Kluyveromyces lactis: one gene and its partners. The protein of the gene in region 2 purifies or fractionates together with the protein of the main gene of each other region. This does not show direct contact. Links are inferred from orthologs where the notes say so. Each region holds a gene or a part of one and is shown on either strand. Other genes may lie near its edges. The genes, in order: GLO3, SEC21, COP1 and SEC28.

Region 1 (5,246 bases), about 560 kb from region 2:
CAAATTCAGGAAAAACAAAACAACTTTATAATGCAAAAACTATATGAGGATAAACCCTCTCAAAACTATTATAGGTTTTTGGTTGTTATGAACCTTTTTTATATGGGAGGAAGATCATGGAAAAATATTTGACGTAAAAGTATTAACAGCCATGACAACACGATCTTTGAGAAAAGTATATACTTCAGAGCCTACTTATATATACTGTCTTTCAATTCAGGTTCTCCGTGAAGCCGTGTAAATAACATAGCTAACGTTGACGGAAGTAATCCAGTTTTCATTTTGCAGTGGTGTTAAGCGCTACCGGCTACTAACAGGGACTAATAATAGTCTCCAACGCAAAAATGAATCAAAAAAAATTCAATCACTATTTGCTTGCAGTAGCGAGACGATCCAAGCAAAAGCCAGAGATGAAAGGAGCCGGACTATACTACTGCCTTTGCTTGAATGAATAGAGTCAGCCTAAGTGAATATTAAGGTTGTTTTTTAAGCAGACTCCCAGTTTCATAAAAGGAAATCACGGCAAAATACACGAACCGCATAGGAAAAAAAAAAGAAAATGAAACTAAATTACGTATTAGAAACACCTAATCAGGTGGGAAATAATCCAGCGCACCAGCGATCTTCTTCGAGAGCTAAGGAGGAATTATGGCTGGTTATGAGAAGATGAGGCTGCAATAGCCCAGCCCACGCGAATGGGCTGAAACGCAACCGTCGATTATGTCGAAGGCTGGAGCAACGGAGATACTATTGCTATGATTCCATAGTAGTTCGAGCATTCAAGATCAGATGAGTTTCGAGTCTTCATGAACAAAGAGCAAACTAAATATGCGGACTTGTAAACTTACAGTAAGAAAGCCGCAGTAGATTTTGCCAGTGGTCCTCGATGATATATATCATTTTTCCATGGCTGGAATAATTGGAACCAAAAGGAAAATACCCTTGCCTCAAATTTCCCCGCAGCATATATTTTTGTTTATTTCCAGTAGCAATTTATTTTCAAAGCACTCCCAGCCAGTTTTGTATGTAACTTGTATACTTGTAGCAAAAAATAATATGTTCCGAAGAAAAAACGAGAAAAAAAAAAAAAAAAGATGGAAAAAAAAGATGATCAAGAAATTAGAAAACATTGTTCAGAACTAGAGGTATCTCTAGTACTGTTGGGATGAATTTTTGGCGGAAAACTCGAATTCGAATGTAGTGAGGATACGGATCAGATACTGGATATGGATTTGGGCTAGGCAATTGCAATTTTCATTCACGCCGCTTTTCAAACAATTCATGTGGGGGGAGGACAATATTATTTTCCCCACAGGAAAAGTGGAAAACCGGAAAAGAAATGCGGGATGACGAATTAATGGATATTTACCCGGTGTACTGGGAATGATAGATCACGTGGTTAGAAACACTCTGGTGCGTGTTGTTTTTTTTGTCCACCTCACCTCTCTCTACTCCGCTCCACCTAGGTCTAAAAACAATAATTATCAAAGTCTGGAATGGTTTAGGGTAGGGTAGGGTAGGAACTATCCGAAAGGTTTAAATGGTTAGCATCAAGCATTGCTCCAGAAGTAACTGATTATACCTGGCGTGTTTGAGAGAATATCCCGAAGCAAGTTTTCCAAGTTTGAGAGTTTTGTTTTCAGTGGTCGAATTATGAGCGGGAAGATTTCCAGGTACGTTATTTTACCCTTAACGGGGTTCACATTGGGCTTCGGATATTTCGTTAAGCCATGGCATTTGGATGAATCAGCACTACAAACGTTACATAGACCGCTACAGGACCAACGGACCGATGTATTGGATAAACTTAGGGCCACAGAATGGGTCAAGAAACTTAAAGAGTCGTCTGATTATATGATGCATCGTCAATCGGAGAAGATCCCTGTACCTCATAGAGATTATCACGTAGGTCAAGGGTTGCTTTACGGACCAACTAAGCTTGAAATTGATCCGGTGGTGTTTACAGATAATGCACAGAACAAGATCCACGTCATATATCATTTGGGCCACAATTTAGGCAACGAAAAGAATGCAGTGCATAAAGGTGTACTTTCATTGCTATTAGACGAGGCTTTGTGTTTCTGCGGGTTCCCTACACTTCCCAGTAAGCGTGGAGTCACTGCATCTCTAGACATATCGTTCCAGAAGGATGTTCCAGTTAATTCCACCATTGTGCTCAACGCCCAGGTCATTGAAACCAAGGGAAGAAAATGTATCATTACAGGAACGTTGGAATCACCACCTCTTGATCCTTCTACGAAACTGGGATCCGTAAAGTCCTTAGTGGCTAAGAGCGTACCCAATTGGATATACAACCCTAAACCGACCGTCTACGCTACTGCAACGTGTATTTTGGTGGAACCTAAATGGTTTAAATACGTTTCATGGATTAACATATTCTGATCTAATACCACCTTAAGGTCTCCGTTATATATGCCAATAATATTATATTTAGTTCACATACTACAACATTCAATATTAAGTATACCATATGCTAGCATTGTACTGGTGCTCGGACATGATGAATACCAGTTAATTCATCATCCCATTCCCACTATTGTATTGTTTGGTCCGGGTAATAATAATACAGACTATTCATATCTGCTATTTTCTTTGACATCTTTAAATTGAAAGATCGAATTTCTAAACAGAAAAGGTTTTAACACAGGACAGAACGGTTATTCAAATTTTGGACCGTTAAGGAACGTAGTTTTTGGTCTTAGTTAAGTTTTTTACACTGCTGGTAACATCATAACAGGTGCAACAGACTACTGTACACACTTTGAGCGCGGGAGGGACACGCCGAACTTACAGAAGTATTTTTCGCAAGTTATTATTAAGGTGGTAAGAAAGCGTGTTATTAAGTACTCTGTTTTCTAAAATTGATACTTAAGAGTTTTTTCTTGCGATTGATCTAGCTTTTGAGATACGATCTGAATTTACCAGGATAATCTGCTACAGGAACGTGAATCTTTATTGCCGTATCTTAGCATCAACTTATTAACTTAACACAAGGGTGTTTTTTTTTCCGGAATTTCAGCATTTCATTATCATTACAAGAGGATTTATTTTAATTAAACCATGGCTAGCATTGACGAATCGGGAGAAGTGTACTGTGACAAGGAAGTCGTGACTAAAGTGTTTGCTAGACTGACAACCAAGTCTGAAAACAGGGCATGCTTCGACTGTGGCGCCAAAAATCCTACCTGGACTTCAGTTCCGTTCGGTGTTCTTCTTTGCATCGATTGTTCCGGTGAGCACAGAAATATGGGTACCCATATTACTTTTGTGAAGTCAAGTAATTTGGACAAATGGACTGTCAACAATTTGAGAAGGTTCAAACTTGGTGGTAACGATAAGGCAAAGGATTTTTTCTTAAAGAACAACGGCAAACAATATTTGGGTTCTTCTAGCAACCGGATGGCTAAATATACAAGCCAGGTAGCCAAGAAATGGCAGAGCCATTTGAATCAAAAAGTGGCTAGAGACGCTGAACAACATCCAGGTGAAATTGTATTTTCAGCAGAAGATGAACAAGAATTCACAGGGGGCAGTTCTGGTTCTTCAAAGAGCAACAGCGTTGATGATTTCTTCTCAAACTGGGAAAAGCCTGTAAACCAAAGTAACATATCTTTGACGTCATCTCCTAGAAATTTAACACCAACCAATACTGGCAATAGGAATGGTTCTTCTATTCTGTCCGGAAGTGGTTCTGCCAACAAAACCAGCAACGGTGCTAGATCCACTACAACTAAGAGAACTACTTTGACAGGATCAGCAGGCTCTTCTCAAGCAAAGAAACATTCCATCCTTTCCTCCTCTCGTAAGTCAAAGAAACCGGTTGCAGCCAAGAAGGTGGATGCTGATTTGTTTGATCAATTCGAAAAAGAAGCCAAGGAAGAGGAAGAATTGGCCTCAAGTCTCGCCACCACTTCCCTTAACTCCAATAATTTATCGAATTCCATATACGATGCCACTCCTGCGCCATTCCAACAAAAATCTGGTTTCAGCTCTAGCAGCAAAATAACCAAGCCATCTACCAATGTCGAAGACGCGGAGGACGACGAATGGTCCAACAGATACAATGATGGTATTACTTTCGATCAAATCAATGCTTCCAATGTAGGATTAACTGGAAGCAAAGATGCGGCAAAACCAAAGTTGGCTAAACTTGGGTTTGGTATGACTTCCAATAATGCAGAAAAGGAACAAAACAAAACTAACGAATCAAGGAGGGCTGCCTCTGGTCCAAAGTACACAGGTAAGATTGCCCAAAAATTCGGAGAACAAAAGGGTATCTCTTCAGACCAGGTGTTTTCTCGTGGAAGCTACGATGACGAGGCAAGTAAAGAAGCTCAAGAAAAACTCAGACAGAACTTCAGTAATGCCACATCTATTTCTTCAGCCTCATACTTTGGCGAAGGCCAGAGCGAAGATCAGTTCGACGAATTTGGAAGACCATTGAATCCACAAAATGGAACAAGAACAAACAGAAGCGGTTCTCTTGGCGGACGAAACTTCATGGAGTTCACGTCTGGTGCTGATGACGAATTTGACCTGTTGAAGAACGCTGTTGAACAAGGAGCGCAAAAGCTAGGAAACTACCTAAGAGATTACATGAGAAATTAATTCCTATGTTAGTTTATTGTAAGATAAAGTATAGTCATTCATCAAGGAGTTAACGTTAATAGTATCAGTGCCATAAGTTCCCCATAAGTTCCCTTCTATGAAAAAAAATCTGAACAAAACTTTATGGCTTTATTGTAATAGAAACAAATAAACAAATAGATGAAAGCTTGTCCTTAATAGGATACCCTTTTCAGTCACACATCTCTTCGTTGTACCATAATATGAATACCGCCATTATTTGGATAATAATAAATATAGGATCATTCCAAACACCCAGTGTGTAGTCAGAGTTTGAGATTTTTCAACACACCTACATTTTCCAAGGAATACCAAGTGTCTATTGTGCTTTACGTATTATTTAATGATTATTTAGTAGCTTGAGTAGCGAAATAAGGATTATGCAATCCAGTGATCATGACAATTATTGATTAAGTAGCATTTAGAAAGTTGATTTAAAGAATGATATGTTCTTGAAAGACAAGAAGATTAAGGTCGATTCGAAGTAAGATATTAACGCGTAGTCATGGGCCATAAACAAATCTTGTCATGTCGGAGGTATATCTCGTGTACAGTTCGAGAAGAAAGAGGTGAAGAAAGGAGTAAATGAAAGTCCTGCT
Region 2 (6,033 bases):
ATGTAACCTAATCTAACTTCGATGTCGATGTATGCACCTTCTTCGATAGTGGTTTGTAGGACACCTGCAGCAGCTATAGTCAAATTCTCACCTCTTTGTGGTGGGTTGGGGACCAAGTTTACTTGAGTAACATCAAGCGATTGAGATTGGTCAACATCACATTGCAATAAAGGAGAGTCACCAGGGATCGGTTTGTTCGCTGATGGTGGTTCTGGGAAACTTAATCCGAATAAAGAAGCTGCATTAGCGTACGATGCAGCAGCGCATAATAAGTAACTGGTTACAACAGAAAAACGCATCTTGGTGGTTCAATCAGGGTGTTTTAGAGATAAGGGGAGTTTGCTTTAGCTTTTCTTTTTTTTGTTTATGAAGGTTTCAGGACTTGATATAATAACGAGAGGCCTTAGTGAGTCCTTGTAGATATCTTAAAGATCTTGAATTGGTCTATGAGCAGGTATATAACTTGTAAAGGCTGAACTGTTGCTCTTGCTTTATCTTTCTTTCCCTTTCCTTTTTGTTGTTTCCCATGCGTGATGTAAACAAAATGTTTCGAATTCCAACAAACCTTTAAAATTGTGACTTTCTCATCTCGAAGTCTCAGATAAGGTCTAAAGGATAAGGGGTGAACAACGAGCGGCTGAAATACGATTATCAGACTGAGAACTTCGTTATATTTACGGCTGAGAAATACTTATGTTGCTATCTTAGATAGATATATATATATATAGGTTTTTTTTTTGTTTTCAAATGTACATATATTATATCAAGTTGTTTGATAAGTCTTCTGCCAACGATTCCTTGTCGGATTTCACTAGAGCCTTAATTGCAATACCCTTACTTGTCTTGATCATCTTGATGGAAAGCAGGGCTTTAGTGTTGTCTAAGATACATTTTCCTGAAAGTTTTAGAGTATGTTGGGTGGCATCGTGGGATACTATTTGTGAGTTTTCCAAAGGTAAACCACCAGCGCTAATGACTAACTTGTCGATGACTTCTTGTAGTGTGTTAGTTTCGACAATGTTGTAGACAGAGACGGATTCATAAGGTAGTTCTTCCAAAGAGGTGGCAAAATTGCTTACGAATGATGGTTTCATGTAGTCACCGGGACTCAAGAACAATGAATCAAATTCGTATTCATCTTGGAACCCTTCGTCATCTTCGAATGGCAAAGAGGTAGATGGGTCTAATTCCTTGGATTGGAATTTCAACGAGTTGCTGAATCTTTCTACAATGATATCATCCTTGTTCTGTGTTAGTTTCTTGAACGATACGTAACATGACTCTCCTTCATTGGGTAAGAGTCTTTCAATAGGCAAAACAAATTCCTCTTGTTCGTCAAGTAAACCCTCTGATAATCCTTCTTGTTGGCATACCACTTCAACGTTATCAAGCGCAACGTCCTTCAATGTGTTAGTGATATGGAATTGTAATACAACGTGCTCGTCAAACAAATGCTTGATACCCTTCACAACGAATTCAGCTTCAATTTCCGTTAATGGGACAATCTTGGAAGAATGGATACACTTGCCAAAGGACTGGAATTGTTCCAAGGAGGACATTTCATCCACGTATTTGGACAATAGCAAATCTTCTTCTTCAGATTCCAATGAAGGTCCATTGAAGCTATTGTCATCCAATCTATCACCCTTTCTACCACCCTTTTCAGTACCGTTACCATTTCCGGCACCACTGTTGGAAGATTCTTCTGTATGGTTGAAGGCTTGCTCTTGTCTGCGTTTCAAATCCAATGCCTTCTTCTCGTCTTCGGAGTATTTGGCAACTGACGAGACGTCAAATGGAGTCTTGAATGCCTCTTGGCCTTGTGACAAATAGTGTGATAGTTTTGATTCAAGAGCAACAACGTCATAGGTAGAAGTTGGGCGAATGAAATTTTGTGCGATATTGGAAACATCTTTCTTGGACTTAACCGAATCGATGAATTGCAAAGCAATGGATGCTCTATCTCTAACTTCATCATCTGAATCAGTCTTGATTTGAGTCAATAGCTGTTCAATACTTTCTACTAACTCAGGGTCATTCTTAACAAGTGCAAATTTGGAAAGAGACAACACAGCAGCAGATCTGATGATAGAATTCTCTAGAATAACTCTATTGTAAATGTGTCTCACGTATAATGACGGGTTCTTAGTGGTTGGACCCTCCTTACCCAATAGATGTAAGATTCTAACCAATATTTCATTATATTCACAATCTTCGATGAAATCACATAATTCTTCTAAAGCTTTTTCCTTAGATTGTGGGACGAATTGAATTAAATCAATTAATGCTTCCACGACACTATTTTTGAATTGAAGACTGCCTTCGGCAGATTGTAAGGATTCCATCAAGAAATGTAATATTGTATCACATTCCTCAGGGAAATTTAGAGAAAGAGTTCTAATAGCATCAATAATGATGATCTTGAAATCGTCATTCACCTCGTGGATGAACTTGGTAATTGTCTTAATCAAAGAACCAATGTTCTTGTCGGTACCAGTCTTCAACAAGGTAGTGATTGTGTAAGTGGAAATGTTTCTGTTGCTATCGTTAACAAGAGATTCCAATTGTGGATTACATACCACAATTTTCTCTGGTGAAACCATAGAAATCTTGTTCAACAAACGCACTGCAGCAAATCTGGTTGTCACACGAGGAGTGGACAAGAATCCTTGCAAGACAGAAACCGCTGCTGCAAACAAATCGTTAGGAACCAAGTTGGATAGAGACGCAGTAAGCTTACAAGCTTCCAAAGCAACAGCCTCGTGTCTGCTTTGCAACCAATTAGCTATTAGTGGTAAGAACTGGGGGATGGAGTTAGGATCCTTCAAAACCAATTGGTGCACGAATTTAACCATTTGTACTTGAGCCAATTGATTTTTCAATGGTGAAGAATGACCGGCAAACTGTTGGATCAATTTGATCAAAGCCATCTTATCGTGATTCTTCAATTGGTACAACAAACCCAATGCATGGTATTGAGAGATATGAGACGTAGTTGGATAATATCTACTGTTCTCATCTGGATATGGCAACTGTTTCAAATCACCAACGGCTTCCTGAGTCTCATTAGCAAATCTCTTCACCGTAGTTTCAGCGATTGGTAATAAATGGTATGAACTGACCAAAGAAGCAGAACAAATAGATGGATGTTTGCTAACCAACGAATTTTTCAATAATCTTTCTGCAGAAAATGCAGTGGACTCATCCAAGACACGGATCAATGCTCTAATAGCATTAGGCTTCACTAGATCTGAACCATTTTGAACATCTTTCATAATTGAAGAAGTAGCCATCAAGATATCATCGGAGATTCCACACAATTCCTTAATAGCCACGTAAACGATTTGTCTCAAAGAATCGTTAGGGTGTTGGAACAATTTCGAAATGGAAAAGAATAAAGCAGTAGCTTCTTGTCTAGGGAAAGTCTCACCATGCGACAATAGTTCCAACAAGCTTGTGATCAGGGTACGGCACAGTTTAGGATTCACAGGAGATTCATTGAACCGATTCAAACAATCCTGATAGATCGCCATTTTGTCTGGCAAGGACCCACTGTGTGGGTCCTCAGACTTCTTATAAGTTTGTGCAGACATGCAATTGGCAGTGCTAGGATACCTTCAAATGACGTACTAACCTTTAGTAGCCAATTTTGAGCCTATTAACCTCGTGTTTTATCCAATTCTTTTTGCCGTGTGGTATGGTATATATTTATATTCATAATGTTTTCAGTTTGCAAATCGGTAGAAGTCCTTTGGAATGAAAAAAAAAGTGAAGCGGGTGTGTGAAAGTGAGGGTAACACTTGTTTTTTAATTATGATATATATGTATATATATATATATATATGGATATGGAGATATATATGATATAGCAGGCAAGATCACTGCTGCTGTTCATCTAGAGTCAGGAGTAGTTGTGCAAGACATCTCTTGGTACCTACATCGTCCTGTAGTGCTTCATTGAAGGTGTTATCTCTTAGTTGTTGCGGCAAAACTTGTTTCAACAATCTTCTGGCTTCTAAATTATCCGATAATCTTAGGTAGCATCTTACAACATGTTTCAATAATCTTCCCGGCACCTGTTGTTGGGACATGTGCTTAAACATAGTTGCCAAAACTTGTGACACCGCGTAGAACCGTTCTGGGGTCGCGCATACGAACTGGAGTCCGTTATCGTCTAATAATATTTTCTGTAAGATGAAGATAGCGACGATCTTCGAAAGTTCTGAAGAGTTTTCCATGATTCTTAAACATAATGGGATAATATCTGTCCTTAGAAGGAAACTGATCACTTCTGCAGAATCGTTTTTCACTAGAGCACCGATGACACCTAGTGAAGTTAGCCTTAAATATTCAAAAGTTCTTTGGTTTGATGTCGTAGATAAGAATGGGAAAAGGAACAACGGGATGTGAGCCTGTAAGAATTGAGGCCTGATATCTGGGTGTGATGCGACACATTGTAAGAGCACCAAAGCGTTGCATACGCGGTTTGATAACTGGTTTGATAATGCAGGAGGTGAAAGAAGCGGATAAATTGAAATTATTTCCTTTAGCAACGACGTCATCACACCGAAACTGGACCACAGCACGATAGCCAAATCCTCATACTGTTCACGTTTCTTACCTAGTTCTAGAAGCGCTTGTTCTTTGCTTGGCCCGTAAGTGAGCTGGCATATCCAATGGTAGACATTTGGATCATCTAGCGCATGTGTTATTCCTGCTGGTGTGGGACCTGGCCCAGGAACTGAACTTGGTCCTGCAGTTGGCCCTTGGCCCATCCCAGGCATCTGACCTGGAAGTTGGTTGTTTTCTACTACTGGGTGGGGCATTCCTTGTTGCAAACCAGGAGGCATATTTTGGGGTTGCTGTTGTTGCTGTTGGCCCTGGGTTTGATTTTGACCCTGAGCCTGCCCTTGAGGCTGGCCTTGACCCTGGCCTTGGTTATTTGGGAAGTAAGGTTTCAATTGTGGGAAATATTTCCTGCGGGTTTGTTCCGAGAACACATTCCCCTGAGCTTGAGCCGCTTGAGCCTGGGGTTGCTGTTGAAACATGGCAGATGATAATTGCGGGTGTTCTACCTGATGCACAAGCTGGATGATGTGTCCTTCCCTGAGACAATGCTGAATATTGCCTATTCTACATACCATATATATACAGAGATGCGAATTATCAACACTTTTAAGTTGAAAAGATGTGCTAAGTTGTGGAAACTGAGGTTGTTATGAAATCCGGGTAATAAGACAACGAAAGTTTAAACACAAAACAAAACACGCCCAGACATTGTTCAATATGACGAAACACTGAATAAAAGAAGAAGCATATTAATTATTAAGTATTAGACAATATATAAAGATGTATATTAAGTTGGTGATAGTAGGAATAATAATAGAGGAGAATGGGGTTAAGATTATAATTTGGAATGTTAGAATTACTTTAATAGTTGATTAAAAATAAAATAAAAAAAGCGGAAGCTTTTTTTGTTTTTATTTTAACTTTAGTTAAACAACTTCTTCAACTTACCCAACCATTTCTTGGAAAAAGATTGAGATTCCTTCTTGACATCTTCAGCTTTGGCTTGAGCTTGTTCTTGAGTTTCCTCAGCCTTAGCTTGAGCTTGTTCTTGAGTCTCTTCAGCTTGTTGTTGAGCTTCTTGAGCAGTTTCCTCAGCATTTTGTTGAACTTCTTCAACCTTATCTTGGATAGCTTCTCTTTGTTCTTCGATCTTGTCAGACATTGTTAACTGTATGTGTTACTTAGTTGTTGTTTCTTGCTGTTTTAAAATATGTCAGACAGAACAATTAAAATTATCCCAAAAACAACCGCCAATGGTATGGGAAAAGGCATCGCATCTTAAACTTTGTTTTCCTCTATTTATATGTGTGAAACTGGGAGTCCGGTATTAGAGCGAGGGCAAGGGATCTCAGGGATCATCCCAGCACCGAGACACGGACATTCACTCGGACATGGAAGTGGTATGACATTACATTACACGGTCCAGAGGGCTAATCCTAAAGTAGCGTAGACGTTTCCTACTTT
Region 3 (5,777 bases), on a different chromosome or scaffold from region 2:
AAGGATCTGCTACAGATGGCGATCCTTTGTAAATTGGGGTATGTGAAGCTGCACAGATATCAAATTCAGCATAAGGATCGAAATCAATCTCGATGGCATCATATGCCATCGAATCAGCCTTTGCTTTGATTTTCTGAGCTTGGTCAGCACGGGCACCTGATGTAATAATCTTGAGGAATTCGCCTGCGAAATAGGATGCTAATACAAAGTTCTTGTTTTTGAATGATTGGGTCATAGCAACATTCAAAGCATTACTTCTATGCACAGGTAGAAGTTTTGTCCTGCTGAAGTATGCTGCCAATTCCAGGTTACGCTTAACGTCATTGGCAGGTAGAGCACGACGTTCTAGCTCCATAGAAAGACCTAAGATGTATTCACGAGCAGTTGCAAGTGCAGTTTGTGCTGTTGTTTCATCTTCTTTGTCAGTAACTGCTAACAAAGCTATGGCATAGATAACGTCTCGGAAGTGCTCGATAGCAACTTCCAATTTGTTAGCCTTAAATGCTTTGAATCCCTCGTTCAACTTCGTGGTGACTACAGAAACGCCAGGAACAAATGGTAGTATTTTAGATTTGTCCTCCTCATCGGCATCAGCTCGGATGTATCCAATAATTGAAGGTAATTCATTTGGTGTAGCACTCATATAAGTTCTTGCACCATCGTATATATCAATGAATGGTGTCCTGAGGGGTTCGAAGTTTACAACGGCTACCTGCTTATTCAAGGCTTGGGCAGCAGCATCAAAGGCTCCAGCGGCTACTAGAACTGCTGGAAGCTTTGAATTTTTAACCCACATTGGCAATTCTGATTCATCTACTTGTTCTTCAGTCACTTCGGATTCTTCGATCTCTAACTCGTCGTCTAATTCCAAATCATTTTGGTCTAGGTCCCAAGCATCTTCTTCCTCTCCAACAGCTTCATCATCAAAGTCTAGGTTATCTTGTTCTCCTAAATCAAACTGGCCAACATTTTGGGTAGTATCTGAAACATTTTCTTCCTTATCATCAGAAATTTCAAGATCTTCGATTTGGCCCAAAAGGGCTTTTTCAAAGAATGAGACTTCAGCTTGCTTTAACGGCCAGTTTTTCAAAGGAGCAGAAATGACAGGGGTTTTTACATTTGTGGAGGAGTTGAGTTCAGTTGGTAGGGAAATGTCTTGCTCATCAATTTCTTCGGATTCCAAAATGGAAGTGGCAAGGTCATCGTCGCCGTTAGCTTTTGCCACTGCATAAGCCAAAGGAGCAGAGCCTGCATTTAAAAAGACATTTGCACGCTTCTGAACTGAGTTATTGTAAAAGGTATTTTGAATCAAGCCGGAAATATCTGATCTATGTTCAGCAATAGACTCCATTTTTGCCAGTTTGGAGTTGTCTCCCTTAAGTAGATATAGGAAAGACAGTTTATCAAACTGCTTAGTGTTTTGATATACCAATTCAGCGATATCTGTGTTACCTTGGATCAAAGCTTCTTTGCCCAATCTTTCCCATACAAGTTCATTGTTCAATTTCTCAGCTTCTTCAAGAGCAACTGTCAAATTACCGTATTGTGTAGCCAAATCAAATCTTGTTTGAGGATCCTCCACGAATTGTAACGCAATTTCAGGATAGCCTGATTTTTGAAGATAAGATATGATGTTTTGACCAACTAAATTTGAATTTTTAATGATACGCAATACCTCAGGGAAATTTTTGTTGACTAAAGTCTTCTTGAAACGATATTCAGTAGGATCAATTGTCAAAATCTCTACTTCCCCTTCACGATTCAAAGCATAGACAAATTTGCCATGTACCTTGTTGATGTATAATGTTCTTTCTAAGGTTTTAATGATACCAGAATCACCATTCAATAGACAGTATTTGATATGGTTCAATGTTGAATAAATTAGGACACCGGTTTCATCCCAACTTGCACTCTTGATTCTAATACTTTCATGGTTTGATGTAACGATTTCCAGTTTTCTGTTTGCGATTGTCAATGTATGCTTACTCATCAATGCAACATATTGGCCATCTTGAGACCACACTGTATACTTGATGTTCTTTAAAGATAATTCATGAAGAATTTTACCTTGTTGGACGTCCATCATTACCACAGAATGAGAATATAGAATCAAAACAGTACCAGGAGCAGCTAATGTGATGTCTTTAACAGTATCAGTTAATTTGATTGACTTTGTGGTTTTGTTATCTAAACTACGAACCTCCAAGCTATTAGTGCTGCCATTGTGCACCACAAATCTGTTACGAGCAACGAAGATCGCAAAACTACCATCATCAGAGATGACGTTGCTAGCTTCAACAGCTCCACTAGGTTGTTTAGGTAAGACACATAAGCTGAACCTGTTGGCTTCCTTTTCGGAGGAGTTGACAAGGACGGAATGTTGGGATGGGTTATAAGACATACTTCTAAATGAACTCCAGGTCTTGCCGATGTTTTTCAAAGAAAGATAAGGTAGAGAAGTGATTCTCTTGTGGTAATCAAACATTTGGACTTGTTTCTCCCTGTTGATAAAGAACAACTGATTTTGGTTTATAGCAGTTGGTGGTCTTTCACGGTCCAACTTAAAGATCATAATACCAGAATCATGAGCAGCACCGAACAGATTTAGGTTTGGGTGAGCTCTCACTAACCAGAATCTGTCATTTTCTCTTTTGAACTGTTTAATTGGAGTACGCTTGTCCAAGTCCCATACTCTTACGGTTTTATCCTCACCAACTGATATAATGAGATTCTGTTGAGGATGGAAAATGACGGAATCAACGTTGTTGGTATGACCTCTACAAGTATCGACCTCCCATGCCTTTGTGGCACTCATTCTCCACAATTTCACTTGACGATCATCAGAACCGGAAACGATCAATGGTAAAGTTGGATGGAAAGAAGCCCAATTTACTCCTCTAGTGTGGCCTTCTAAAATGAACTTCACCACACAATCTCCAAATCCTCCGTCAAGTAAGTTCTGTTGCTGTCTCATTTGTTCTTCGAATGATTGAGTGCCTGGTGCGGAATGTCTTTTTCTTAGCCCTGAAATATCCCAAACTCTAACGGTTTCATCCAAAGAAGCAGAAACCACCAAATCTTCGACTGGATGGAATTGGGCACACATTACGAAGTGGTTATGGCCAGTTAAACATGCTATTTCCTTTCTGTTCTGCCAGTTCCAGATTCTGATGGTTTGATCGTCGGAACTGGAAATAATCCATGGCAATTCGTGATGGAAGAATACTGTACGAACATAGTCTAAATGGCCGTCCAATGTGAATAGACACTTGTTGCTCTCTAAAGACCATACTTTGATAGTATAATCATCACCTGCAGAAACGAAAAGAGGTTGCGTTGGATGGAAATCAATGCCACGTACCGGACCCTCATGATCTTCAAAACGGTGAAGCAAAACACCCATACGGTAATCCCATAATTGGATGGTTGATGAGAAAAGTGCTACCAGAACCCAAGGCCTAGACGGATGAAAAGCAATACCTTTCGCCCTGGTAGACTTTGATTCGAACTTAGTTAACATCTTCATGATGAAAGCAAGCTTTTCAAGACTTCGATCTAAATCTGAGTAAAAACTGTGAGAAATATAAGAAGAATAACTCGGAAGAAAACGTCACAATTGCAGTTAACAATATACCAATTGGTTACGATTGAAGCTTTCCTTCGATGGTTAGTCCTCACTGACAACTCAATTAGACGACAAAGTACCTTGATCGTTGTTTATTAGCCAAAGTCAGCTTCATTCAAGGTTCATAAAATTACTTAAAATACACATATGGCTTACTATTTTGAAATAAGATCGTGTTTTATTTGAAAAGTTGTCCTTTTTGAAAATTGGAAGAATCCGAAGAGTATGCAAAGGACGTAATGGTAGGGTAATAATTACCCGAATTTGTGCCAGACGCATCTCTACAGATTCTATGCGTAAGAGAATGCTAGAAGAGATAGCATATACGAGAGTGGTATACATAGGTCTATATATCTATACATGTATAGTGTAGATGTGAACATCTGGGCAACCTTTACTGATTAATGTAGCATATTAAGCAATCTTTTGATAGGATTTCTGTTATTGTGACTGGAACCCCCATTTGTGGTAGCATCGCGTGACTGCAGAGCGTTTCGTAGGAGCAAATCTTGTTCTTCATGATTTTTTTCCGATGGTTTATTAGTGTCTTGAATAAACCTGTTTGAAGGACTCTGATCCGGCCCATCTCCCTGCTCTTGCTTCAATTGTTTACCTACCAAAAGACTTTGTTGCTGTCTTCCCGGATTTAGGCCATTCTTGTCCAAGGAAGATAAATAAGGTAATTTGCCCTTCTTCCAAATGACTGAATCTTCAAACCACGTATGCTCATTAAACTTGTCATAATTGTAATCGTAAGTAATATCTAACAATGAATTAGCATCAATAGGTAAATGTAATCTTTCTAGTTCATCAACTATTGATGGCCAGAATTTGTTTTCGTAAGGTGTAACGGCTATTGATTCCACAGTTGCATAAAATTGACCCTTCTCAAGTATATCGGGCGAGTTTTCCCAATCAATGAGCCCTCCAGCCCACATTATGGTACCAGGGTCAGCATCTTCTCTTCCACCTGGCCACACCGACACTTGCAATCTCATTGGTGTTTGTGGATATTCGTATCTTTGTTTTTCCTCATTCCATGTATCTTCCTTGTATAATGTTCTAGCTACTACACCGTCCACAATCCAGTTGATTCTATCTTGGTCCCAATCGACTTCGTAAATATGAGTATTTTCAAAACTGTCAGAACTTAGTTCTAGCTTTTCCATCCTTGTGTGATTTAATTCACCTTGGTGATAATAATTAGATTGAGCATGATGTAATTCTCCTCCAATAAATTCAAAATCAATTTCATCACCTACAGTTGAAATTAATACCACTGCAGTAACAACTCCGCGACCTCTAGCTGTTTTCATTTTTACGGTAGCTCTACCGTATAGAAAAGATCTTGTGGATGATATTAAACTTCCCGAAGTATGTTTAGGCATAGCAAGAGTCAATTGACCAGGTGCATCGTATTTAACAAATCCACTGTACGTGAAATGATAGTCTCTTAACATTTTCTTAATGATTCGTTCTTGTGGTGATATTAGGAAGTTAGCGAAATTAACTATACCTCTATTATTCAAGTCCTTTTCTCCACCTTCATTCGATGCAACGTCCATACTGGGTTGTACTCTAGGCAGAAAGCTACTTTTTAGAGCAGGTTTTTGCTCCAGTGAGCTTTGCAACCAGAAGCTAGGCGACATTCGTGGTAATAATGCTGGTTGTCCTAAGCAACTACCTGGATCGTGAGATAATCTTGGGTTACAACCTCCAACACAAAAAGGACCCGTACCGCATTGTCCAAATTGTGAGCAACATGGCCATTCTGCAGGACAATTATTTTCAAGAGAGCAGCCTATTGGAGTTTCTGGGAAATACCTAGTAGCTTCTTGTGCTAAAGTTGAAATTGTGCAACAGGAAATCCATAACAAAATAGTAGAAAGCATTGCGATGCTAGTAACCAATTTCTGCGTTTTTTTTGTTTATGAATACAGATACAATTTGAGGTGTAGTAGATCAAGACAAGCTGCCAATGATAGTGTCATTGATCACGGATGTAAATTCTTGAACATGATAGTCGTGATTTTTAGATCCTTCTCCTTCTGCTTTTATAGGTTGGCTTGATTTCTCATAATTTGACGTGCGACAATCTGTTGCGAAGAAAGTAGAAAATTGAGTGACACAAAACATTAGATTAAGATCATTC
Region 4 (4,769 bases), on a different chromosome or scaffold from region 2:
TGGCTAAATTTGAGGCATCACGCCTGTTCTGAGATTCGAGCTTCAAGTTTGAGTGGTGAGTGTCGGTTCTTCCAAGAATTTGCAAGACGTGGGTTCAATACTGGGTTTAAGGTTGATAGAGGTCATCAAGCTTGTGTGAAAAGACGTGCTGCGATCAGCGTTTCAGGAAATCCAAATTGTAGAGATAAAGAACATGCGGAAAGAGTTGTAGATGAAGTCTGGGACTCATGCTTCAATGACACAAGACCATTTGATGAAATATATAGATAAAATTATCCTTGTATTGTAAACTTTTTGACTTTTCTTTTATATAAAAGGTATCTAGATTTACCTTAACCTTGTACATATTTATTCGACGACCATTCATATGAATATTTCATCATTTTGGTTATTCTGCTCCAAAATTAAAAGATCAAGTACAGCAAACCAGTCATACTTGGTCCTAAACAAATCCCAATCCAGAAGGTAACATTATTAAATAGTTTCTTATCTCTGAGCAATGGAATGTTTGATAAAGCTGTAAATGGAATTTGTGACATTTGCAGGATAATGATATAACCACGGAACTTGTTGAAAAGAACAAACATGGCTAGCTCGTGAAACACAGAACTTAATAAAAATGTGAATAAGGTGGCTTGAACTTTACTCATGTGATACGCACTAATCGAACTGTGATATACATGTCTCAATAAAAAGCTATGCACCGGACGATTCCACAATCTGCTAAAATCATACCAGGAGCAACAGTTCCACCAATCAGAGTAGAAATGGTGGTCTGCAAAACAGGACAATTCGGCCACACAGTTTAAAATTGCATCCCAAATCAAATACCAGACCAACAAAAACATCATAATAAAACCTGGTGCCAAGTCCAACAAGAGCTTCGGCCATACCAGGTTCTTTTCCCATAATGTGAGGTTGGCATCTGCCAAAATTTTAGCTTTCAAAATAACAGGCAGCATGAATTGTTGTGCAACAACCATCATGACAAAGATGATACCAAAGATCGCGCAACATTTCTCAAAAACGTAAAACCATCTTATACGTTTTGTGCGTGGGTATTCTATCTGATATACAAGCGTTGGGAACGAAGAAAACTCGAAAAAGTTCTTCACTGAGACATTAAATGGGAACCTGACCGTTGATGATTGAGATCTTATCTCAAACTCACAAAAATCTATTGACTTTTGCAATATATCAAGTTCTGGTTGTGGAGAACTGAGTTTTTTCAGTTTCTTTAGGGTAGATGTTGCATAATCCAACTCTGATGAAATATCCCACAAATAACCATTATAGAAGGAATAAGAATGTATCTTCATCAAATAGACCAATGAATGTAAAAATAAAAATATTTGGGCGATCCAGTTGAAATGGAAGGTCTTTTTTGGTAAGTAGATATTGGAGAATAGAAATACCACCTCATAAACTGAAATAATATCTCTCCCTGTACGTCTCCAACTGATGACATTTTTTCTGCACAAATATTGTATGACGAATGCAAAATAACTAGTCAGGTACATTGCGATATCATATAACGCAACTTTCCAAAGATTCATGGTCATGTATCGCAAGATAATTGACTGTGAAAAATCACCATGTTCCTCGTAATATTGTAATGTCACTTTGCAGATGGTGAACGCAACTGCCATCCAAAATAAGACATAGAATCCAGAAAAGTCTGTTGCTATAGTTTCATTTGCAATTTCAATAGTATTATTGTCATCTATCCTCACCGTATTTGATCTGGCTGTTGCCTTTACTCTAGAATATTTCTCGTCTATTGCTGGCCCATTGAAATGAGATCTAAGCGGATTGTTGACCATCTCATCCATGATACTACCTCTAGAGCCCCAGTCTACATCTCGTGTCATGGACTGCATTTCATTCGTATCCTTCTTATATCTGTTCTTTTCCTTCACCTTCAATTTCTGCATGAAAACATGCAGATGTTTGTCGCCTTGTTCGGAGGTGGTTCTAGTCTTAAAGATAACCGTGTCGTTAGGCTGGACCGTGTTGAAAAGAACGTCCGGAGATCCAAGTTCATCGAGAACAGCATCCTCCAACTGTTCCTCATGCAAAGACTTCCTCTTCCCATGGTTGTTGTCGTTCAGCCTTCTTATCCTCAAGAACTGCTCATCCTCAGTTATATCCTTAACGGTGGTATCATGTGAACTGTCACTTGAACCGGACATTATGACAGGTTTTTAATTAAAGATCCAGTTAAATAAATCTTTTATGATATATTAACGTGGATTGACTCTTCACCATGAAATTAGTCTGAGATAAATCTAGGCCAAGTCGTGATTCGTCTTAAGAAGGAAAAAATTCTTGCTAACCTCTCTCTCTCACTCAGACGTTTTAAATATAAATCTCAAATCCGGAATTAACCAATGGTCGTAAGAAGTGTACTGTTAATTACTGAATCTGTTTCCTTTTCCAACCCGTATCGTTTAAACGTCCAAAGTAACTGGCTCTGAATTTCTTCTGATAAATACTCTCAATCCCTTAAATAAACGCCATATGGTGATCCACACCTTCGAGAATTATTCGAGAAAGGAAAAATACAAAAAAAAAGATCACGTGAATGAAAAACATCCATTACCCTGATCCTGTCAGTTTTTCAGTTTTGGACAATTCGCATGGTGGATCAAAGTAAGATAGCATATGGACTCTCAATATTAAAGGATACGTGTGAGATAGACCCGTTAATGAGCCAGTAAAGTCGCTTTCAATACACGATAACGGTTAATTGAAGTTTTCCGACGTCAGATTTGTTGAGAAAAAAATATCAACTCAGAAGAAATGGACTATTTTACTGTAAAACAGCAGTTTTATACTGGTAACTATGAAGAAGCGTTGAACGAAGTTTCTAAGTTTAACAAAACTGAAGATGAGGCGTTGACTTACTACAGAAATAGATCATTGATTGCATTGTCCCAGTTCAGTGAGGGTAGTGCTGATTCTGGCTCACTTGGGCCTGTATTTGAGGCTTACTATAAATTTTTAAGCAAACCTACAGGCTCAATCACTGCACTAGAACAAACCGTTGAAAAGGCGGGCAGATCTCCATTTGCATTGAACTTATTAGCAAGTGCATTGACTATAAAGGGCGAGTTTAAAACTGCTTTGGAGGTTGCCGTTGAAGGAATTGACTCCGATGAAACAAGAGGAACCCCGGAACTACTGTTAACGGCCATCCAAATAACTTTGTTGGATAATCAACCAACCATTGCCTCGACTATGTTTGAAAATTTCCAAGCACTTCAGGAGCAATCGAACGACGATGAAATAATTTTGAATCTTGCAGAGTCATACATCAACTTCAACCAGGGTAAAGAGATCACTGGATCCAATTTCTATTTCTTTGAAGAGTTGTCTCAAACTTTCCCAAGTTGGAAGACTCAATTAGGCCTATTGAATTTACACCTCCAACAATCGCATTTGCCTGAATCCAAAGCAATCATCGACCTCTTAGAAAGCGAGTTCTACGATATCAAACAAGAAGCACAAACGTACAAGCCTGATCTACTTGCAAATAAGATTACGTACACCATCTTATCTGGTGGAAATGCAAACGAATTGAGATCGGAATTGCAACAATTGAAACCATCTCACCCACTATGTGTTGCCGACCTTGAAAATAACAAGACTTTCGATCAAATTGTGGCAAAGTACACAGCCTAAATCTATATATATCAAATAGATCTTGAGTAGCAAATAGTATTGGTATTGGCGATACTTTCCGGGTAACATTGTTCTTTTTCCCATCAATTTCGTGGGAACTGTCAAGATAAAGCGGATTGATCAAACATCCTATACAATGTGAAGGGTTAGTTTTGAAACCAGTCACTCGGTATCGTTTTACAAGGCACCTGCGTTGTATTTAGTTCGAATATTCAGGGGAGTTGATCTTCTTATTTTGATTGTCGATCTAATTCTACTTTAGTTTCCCCCGAATTGAGCTGTAATTCACACAGAATTTGGAGTTTACAAGATGGCTACTGAATTGTCTGATGCTGAGAAACGTAAATTGTTGAGGGAAAGAAGGCAACAGAAGTTTTCCAACGGAGGTGCTTCCAGCAGGTTGAACAAGATCACTGGTCAACAGCAGAATAGCTTTTTGTCTTCAACATCTGTTCTTGATGAGCCAAAAGTTACTCCGTCAGGTAACAAGAAATCATCCAATGTGAGTGACGAAGAAGTTGAAAAGTCTACCAAAGAGATTCAAGATTTACTTTCTAGTATTCCCGGTAACAAGGACAATTCTGAAACTGATGCCGCTGAAACGAATCCTGAGGTTGCCCTTTTCCAACAGTTGCTTAAGATGCAACAACAAGGTGGAGGATTCCAAAATGGATCACCAGATGCCAGTACACCGGACCTTTTCAGTTCTTTGCTAAACAACGATACGAATACTACTGCTTCTGCTACACAGATGCTCCCTAATTTTGTTGATGAGAAAGTCTTGAAGTATTACAAGTTCAAAGTGTCCAAATTGAAATCCTACATCATTTTAATAAAATGGGCTCTTCTTGCACCATACGTCTACTTTATCATGCATCCCAATCCCACTGTTCTTCAAGCTTCCAACTTGTTATCCCAAATAGTGGAAAGATCGAACTTCTTCTCCATCTTTACCGGACTAGAAATAGTATTCATCTCTATCTACTATCAAATGTTGAAGAAACTTCAAAGAGATAACAATGTTACGGCCACCCAAAACGCAGGAGGCATTTTGAAGTATCTGACAATGATACCAGAAGGCATTT

Evidence for each region.
Region 1: the proteins of SEC21 (region 2) and GLO3 purify together in Saccharomyces cerevisiae (affinity purification with mass spectrometry; 5 studies listed by BioGRID, with this or other methods). This does not show direct contact. The link is inferred for Kluyveromyces lactis from reciprocal best matches to the Saccharomyces cerevisiae genes SEC21 and GLO3.
Region 3: the proteins of SEC21 (region 2) and COP1 purify together in Saccharomyces cerevisiae (affinity purification with mass spectrometry; 8 studies listed by BioGRID). This does not show direct contact. The link is inferred for Kluyveromyces lactis from reciprocal best matches to the Saccharomyces cerevisiae genes SEC21 and COP1.
Region 4: the proteins of SEC21 (region 2) and SEC28 purify together in Saccharomyces cerevisiae (affinity purification with mass spectrometry; 5 studies listed by BioGRID). This does not show direct contact. The link is inferred for Kluyveromyces lactis from reciprocal best matches to the Saccharomyces cerevisiae genes SEC21 and SEC28.

The regions. Positions count from the first base shown.
Region 1 is NC_006041.1:615,050-620,295, forward strand, and holds GLO3 (ADP-ribosylation factor GTPase-activating protein), read left to right. Parts: upstream 1-3,081; coding exon 3,082-4,629; downstream 4,630-5,246. Other genes in the region: MRX3 (Mrx3p), read left to right, coding at 1,654-2,403. UniProt on the Saccharomyces cerevisiae protein: GTPase-activating protein for the ADP ribosylation factor (ARF) family. Involved in retrograde vesicular transport from the Golgi to the endoplasmic reticulum.
Region 2 is NC_006041.1:1,172,067-1,178,099, reverse strand, and holds SEC21 (coatomer subunit gamma), read right to left. Parts: upstream 3,594-6,033; coding exon 759-3,593; downstream 1-758. Other genes in the region: NPC2 (sterol transporter), read right to left, coding at 1-299; CCR4-NOT core subunit CAF40, read right to left, coding at 3,879-5,144. UniProt on the Saccharomyces cerevisiae protein: The coatomer is a cytosolic protein complex that binds to dilysine motifs and reversibly associates with Golgi non-clathrin-coated vesicles, which further mediate biosynthetic protein transport from the ER, via the Golgi up to the trans Golgi network.
Region 3 is NC_006042.1:478,157-483,933, forward strand, and holds the start of COP1 (coatomer subunit alpha), read right to left. Parts: upstream 3,527-5,777; coding exon 1-3,526. Other genes in the region: CRR1 (putative glycosylase), read right to left, coding at 4,027-5,517. UniProt on the Saccharomyces cerevisiae protein: The coatomer is a cytosolic protein complex that binds to dilysine motifs and reversibly associates with Golgi non-clathrin-coated vesicles, which further mediate biosynthetic protein transport from the ER, via the Golgi up to the trans Golgi network.
Region 4 is NC_006039.1:797,018-801,786, forward strand, and holds SEC28 (coatomer subunit epsilon), read left to right. Parts: upstream 1-2,802; coding exon 2,803-3,684; downstream 3,685-4,769. Other genes in the region: ATP23 (putative metalloprotease), read left to right, coding at 1-270; ARE2 (sterol acyltransferase), read right to left, coding at 405-2,192; GET complex subunit GET2, read left to right, coding at 3,995-4,769. UniProt on the Saccharomyces cerevisiae protein: The coatomer is a cytosolic protein complex that binds to dilysine motifs and reversibly associates with Golgi non-clathrin-coated vesicles, which further mediate biosynthetic protein transport from the ER, via the Golgi up to the trans Golgi network.